Linked DNA regions of Callithrix jacchus. The protein of the gene in region 1 binds, or shares a complex with, the protein of each later gene. Links are inferred from orthologs where the notes say so. Each region holds a gene or a part of one and is shown on either strand. Other genes may lie near its edges.

Region 1 (3,754 bases):
GCTTCTCATAATCCCCTCTCCCACCAGCCCAATCTTCAGCCTACCATAGTTAAGCCTCAATACCTACAACTCCTATTTTCTTGTTATTGAATGTGAAGGATGCTGTTCTGACTGTGCTGTTTTTATTTATCTAATTTATGTCAATAGCATTTGACATCACTTACCCCAACATGCTTGAAACTCTCTTTTTCTTGCCTTCTGGAAGGGCATAGTTCCTGCCTTTCTGATAGTTTCATCTGAATATCCTTCATGGATTCTCCTGCTGCTGCCTGGCTTTTAAATAGCGTTCTTCTGCAGAGTCCTGACCCGGCACCTATTTTCTTCTCATTCTATATAACGTTTTATGATTTTAACTATTCTCCTGGTTTCTACCTCTTGCAGGCAAAGACCTTCTTCAAGTCTGTATTTCCACCCCAGATCTTCCCTATACGTTCTAGACCCCTGGAATCAACAGCTTACTAGGTAACATCACCGGAATGTCCCACTAACATTTAAACTTAGTGGATTCCAAGCTGAATTTATAATTCCCTCTTCCAAACCTGTTTCTGCTGTTTTGTTATTTTTCTCATTGTATACAATTGCTATAGCACCAATATCCATTCAACTGTCCAAGTTAGAAATCTGAATGTCATCCCTTGACCTCTTCCATACTCTCTGCTTCGAATCTGTTGATTCCATTTCCAGAAGAGGCTTTCAAATATATCCACTTCTCTCCATCCACATTGCCATCACCTTAGTCTCAGCTAGTACCATCTTTCCCCCAGACCAGTGTAATATTGTAACCTTCTAAAGTATCCCCCTGCCTTCCATCTCCTGTCTTCCAATCCATTCTCTACATTGTAGAACTAATCCCAGTAGTACTACTGAACCTTTTAGTAGTTCCTGTTGCCTGTAGGATAAAGTCCACATTCCATGGTCAGGTCTAGTAGGCTCTCTGCAAACCCTCTGGGCTAATCTCCACCCTGTTCATTATTCCCCTCTTAAATTATATGTTCTAGCCACTCAAAACTACGTCACAGTGGATAAAAGTGCCGTGAATTCAAACTTTGAGCTTTTCATATATCTTGTCCTTTTCCTTGGGATGCTTTCTGTCTCTCCTGCCTGTTTACTTGGTTGGCTCTCCCATATATATGTACATTATATATATTTTCCAACAGGAAGCTTAGAGTCAATCCCCCTAATCTTTTTGACTTTATATCTCATTTCCTCAAGAGGCCAACCTTAATTCTGAAGGAGGCTAGGCTGGGCTAGAGGTGCTCCTCTTGCATTCCCACTGTCTTTTTCCTATCAAGGCTCTTCTACTTCGTGCTGCAATCCCCTGCTGCTCTGTCTCACCCACTAAACTCTGAGCTCCTTGAAGCAGGGATTGTGTCAGTTTTGTTCAACTTACATTTCCACTGCCTAGCACAATCTCTGGTTCAATAAATATTGGCTGAATGACAGAATCCAAGTGTGAGTGTGTAACAACTGGGCTGAGAAAGCATCAATTATTTCGTGGGGTAAATAAATATGTGGATTACAATTTATTCCAACTTTCCCTTCTTGAGCTTAGAAAAATTTCCTTTTGCTTAACATTGTTCCTTCACCTAGAATCCCACTCCTTCCTTTTCTGTCCACTCAACTTCAGACCCTGCTTCAAGGTTCTGGCCTCTGTAAAGTTCTTCTGGTGCCCACAGTTTAGACCTTTTCATGGGACTTCCATGGTGTCTGTGATTTTTCCATTTGCTTGTTTTCCCTCTGTACTTGGCTATGAGCCATGAGGGTCTATTTTGCCCTTGTGCCCCCAGCACCTAGTCTAGGGCTGGAGAAGGAGCTTGGAAGACAGCTGGAGACATTACTTGCAGACAGAGAGAGAGAGACCACAGAGCCTTGAAAGCTCCAAGATGGGAGTCAGGGGGTTTGAGGATGAGTGAAATGGAGACAGACAGCTCTAAAGAGCATCCCCTACTGTTCAGCCTAATTCAGATTCGAGGATCTTTTTTGGGTGGCTGGGGGCTGGGCTGGGGTGTCAGATGTGACCACAATTTCGACTTCCCATTCAAGCTTTCCACAGGGCTCCCTCCCTCCGCCGGCCCCCTTCTTTCCCCAATCTTGCCTTCCTTTCTTGCTTTCCTTCTCTGTTGTGGCTTTGTGAACTAGGTGTAAAAGGAAAAGCAGATCTTCAAGGGTTGGCAAGAGGAGGTCCTCGCCTTCTGACTGGTGTCAAGGAGGGGCTGCGTGTTGGGGAGAGGGCTGTTTTGGGGTGAGCAGGAGCTCTGGGTGTAACCGGGGGACCAGGATGTGAAGGAGTTCCGACCAGGTGGTGTGAAGCTGTGATGAAGTTGTGAGCTGTGGGGGTGAAGGTGTGAGGGGGGCTGTTTGGGGGCTGAGGCAGTACTATGAGGGGCATGGTGTGGGCGTTTGAGGAGGTAGTGTGGAGCTCGTGGGGGGGGGACTTATAAGTGTTCTGGGGTACAGTGAGGAGGAGCTTGTGGAGGGGGCTGAGGGAGGCACCCACCTCTTGTCCCGGCTCCGCGAATGCGAGGGGGCTCGCAGCTGAGGTTTCCCGCACTGCTGCTGTTGAGGAGAGGCGCCCCCGGGCGGCACAGGGAAGCCCCCGGCCCGGGTCCGGTGCCCTGCACGCTCCGGTTCAGCTTTAGCAGCTCCATGGCCCCCGCCGAGCCCGGCGCCGTACTCAGCTTGGCCCGGCGGGCTCCAGCCGCGGCTCCACCGGCTCACGCTGCGATTCCGACTCAGACTCCCGCCGCCCTCCTCCCCCGCCCCCCTGCCCCGCCCGGTCCCCGCCCCCAGCCCAGGCCCCAGCCCTCCGCTCTCCCGCTGCTCTCCCCGCCTGGGTTCGCGTCCCTCCGCCAGCCTCCGTCCCACCAGGTGACTGCGCGCCCCCTCCCCGGCTAGGGAGTTCTGCCCCTCCCTGTGCGACTGTCCTGCAGGCTCGCCCCCTCCCTAGATCTCTTCCGTCTTCTCCTAGAGATTTCTCTCCTGCCCACCTCCCTTTATCACTCGCCCCCACCCCCGATTCTGGGGAATGAGAGAGGAGCAGGAGAGCGAGTGTTGGCAGCGCAGGGGGAGGCTGCGGGGAAGGGAGGGTAGGAGGCGTTGTGTAGGTAGGGACGCTGCCTGGGATTCAACATCTTTCTCTGGTGTAACAGGGAACGTGGAGGTGGCGTTGGAGACCGGGGCTGCGTGCGTCACCTGCTGAGGAGCGGATGCTTTAGTCTGCGCCTAGCGCCGCGTTTACCGTACTGTGTCGCAGTGGCCGCAGTGACCGTGACACTATTGCTACCGTAGTTTCCTGCAGCTCCTCGCTGCGGGACTGGGGTAGCTCCTGCATCTGTCTCCGCGCCCTCCACCTCCTGTCTCAGGCTCGACACTCGGGCTTCCACTCAAGGTTCCCAAGGAGCCCTCCACAGCTGAGCGGGAGTTGGGGTGGAGCCCGGGGGAAGCCTTGCCCCGAGGAAAGGGCTTCCGGGAGGAAACGTCTGACTTGGGTGTTGAGGGCAGTTGGGGTGGTGCCGAGTAAGGTGAGGATGGGATATAGTTCTAGCGCCAGCCCCGGGCAGGCAAAAGAGGAGATGGTTGGTTTTCTACACCGTCTCCAGGCAGCGCCCACGCCCACCCGACACGCGAATGCTACCTGTTTGCTTTCAGTGCAGGCAAAGCCGCCTGTGTAGGGTGTCAGGTTCCCACGAGAGGGGGCTGGAAGGAGACAGGGTCACTGGGGTGCAACGAGAACAGGGCTGAAGGGGGCCGGACT
Region 2 (2,032 bases), on another chromosome or scaffold:
CTATGTCCCTTTGGTATTACTATTTAAAAGTTTAACTTTTTGTTTTGGTTTTTTGAGACAGGGTCTCACTCTGTTGCCCAGGCTGGAGTACAATGGGGCAATCTTGGCTCACTGCAACCTCGCCTCCCCGGCTCAAGCGATCCTTCCACCTCAGCCTCTTAAGCTGGGAATACAGGTACATGCCACCACGCCCGGATAATTTTTGTATTTTTTGTAGAGATGGGCTTTTGCTATGTTGCCCAGGCTGGTCTCAAACTCGTGGGCACAATTGATCCACCCTCCTCAGCTTCCCAAAGTGCTGGGATTACCATGCCTGGCCTAAAAAGTTCACTTTAAATAACAAGTCTTGGGCAGAGCACAGTGGCTCACATCTGTAATCCCAGCACTTTGGGAGGCTGAGGGGAGGATCGCTTGAGCCCAAGAGTTCAAGACCAGCTTGGGAAACATGGTGAAACCCCGTTTCTACAAAAAATACAATAAAATTAGCTGGACGTGGTGGCAGAAGCCTGTAGTCCCAGCTATTCTGGAGACTGAGGAGGGCGGATCACTTGAGGTCAGGACTTCAATACCAGCCTAGCCAATGTGGTGAAACCCCATCTCTACTAAAAATAAAAAAATTAGCCAGGCGTGGTGGTGTGCACCTATAGTCCCAGCTACTTGGGAGGCTGAGGCAGGAGGATCACTTGAACCCAGGAGGCAGAAGTTGCAGTGAGCGAGATCCCACCACTGCACTCCAGCCTGGGCAGTAAGAGTGAAACTGTCTCAAAAAAATTGCAGACTCATCAGCAGATAGAGGCCTGGAGCCACACGGTTCAGTCCCCTGCCTCTGGGCCTGTGTGGGGACAGCCCCACCCTTAAGCTGGGCCGTTCTCCCCTTTGCAGACAAGATGCAGCGACTGTGTGTGTATGCGCTGATCTTTGCACTGGCTCTGGCCACCTTCTCAGAAGCTTCTTGGAAGCCCCACACCCAGCGGCCACATGCACCCTTAGGTACTGGGGCCAACAGGGACCTGGAGCAACACTGGCTGGAAGATCAGGGCCCAGCCTCTCACCACCGAAGGCAACTGGGACGCCAGGGTCCCCCACACCTGGTGGCAGGTAGGAGCTGCTCACCGCCCTGCTTGCCTCACCCGGCCAGGTTTAGCCAAGGTCTGCCCAGACTGGCCCTGACCTTGGTTCCTGGAGGGTAGGCACCTTTCCCTGTTCTCACCTCTCTCACCTCCTCAGACCTGTCCAAGAAGAAGGGCCCATGGGTGGAGGAAGAAGAAGAAGCCTATGGATGGATGGACTTCGGCCGGCGCAGTGCCAATGACGAGAACCAACAACCCTAGAACCAAGCTGCAGAGCCCAGCCATCTCCTACCCCACCCCAGCCCTGTCACTGAAAAACAAATCAAAAATAAACTAGTTGCCTGTAATCCCAGCACTCTGGGAGGCCGAGGTGGGCGGAACACCTGAGGTCAGGCGTTCAAGACCAGCCTGACCAACATGGTGAAACCCCGTCTTTAAAAAAAAATTAAAATTAAAATAATTAATTAATAAACTAGTTTCCAGTGGATCAGTGGACTGTGTCAGTGCTGCAGGGAAGAGGAGGGGGATTCATCTGGGGGTGAGGCTGCAGCAGGGAGGAGAGCTGAGTGCCTCTTAGGGGCAGGGACCCTTACTCTGGCTGATTCTCCTTGGGTTCCCTAGAGCCCCACACTGAACAAGAATCCACAGGTGTGAGTGGAATAATAGATGGTAGGGTTCAGAGCCACAGTAAGCTTTTTTTTTTTTGAGACAGAGTTTCACTCTTGTTACCCAGACTGGAGTGCAATGGTGAGATCCCAGCCTCCTGCAACCTCCGCCTCCCAGGTTCAAGTGATTCTCCTGCCTCAGCCTCCCAAATAGCTGGGATTACAGTTGCCTGCCAACACACCCTGCTAAATTTTTTTTGTATTTTTTAGTGGGGATGGGGTTTCACCATGTTGGCCAGGCTGGTCTCAAACACCTGACCTCAGGTGATCTGCCTGCCCAGGCCTCCCAAAGCGCTG

What was found. The genes of interacting proteins can lie anywhere in the genome.
Region 2: the proteins of CCKBR (region 1) and GAST are in contact, whole or in part, in a cryo-EM structure (PDB 7XOW), measured with the Homo sapiens proteins. The link is inferred for Callithrix jacchus from reciprocal best matches to the Homo sapiens genes CCKBR and GAST. Residues at the interface, in NP_795344.1 of Homo sapiens: Cys107, Pro114, Asn115, Gly118, Thr119, Phe120, Met134, Gly135, Val138, Tyr189, Gln204, Cys205, His207, Leu222, Val349, Tyr350, Ala352, Asn353, Arg356, Pro361, Ala363, His364, Leu367, Ser368, Ile372, His376, Tyr380; in NP_000796.1 of Homo sapiens: Glu85, Ala86, Tyr87, Gly88, Trp89, Met90, Asp91, Phe92.

The regions. Positions count from the first base shown.
Region 1 is NC_133511.1:71,929,674-71,933,427, reverse strand, and holds the start of CCKBR (gastrin/cholecystokinin type B receptor), read right to left. Parts: upstream 2,741-3,754; 5' UTR 2,649-2,740; coding exon 2,498-2,648; intron 1-2,497. UniProt on the Homo sapiens protein: Receptor for gastrin and cholecystokinin. The CCK-B receptors occur throughout the central nervous system where they modulate anxiety, analgesia, arousal, and neuroleptic activity.
Region 2 is NC_133506.1:91,537,535-91,539,566, reverse strand, and holds GAST (gastrin), read left to right. Parts: upstream 1-879; 5' UTR 880-887; coding exon 888-1,098; intron 1,099-1,227; coding exon 1,228-1,331; 3' UTR 1,332-1,495; downstream 1,496-2,032. UniProt on the Homo sapiens protein: Gastrin stimulates the stomach mucosa to produce and secrete hydrochloric acid and the pancreas to secrete its digestive enzymes. It also stimulates smooth muscle contraction and increases blood circulation and water secretion in the stomach and intestine.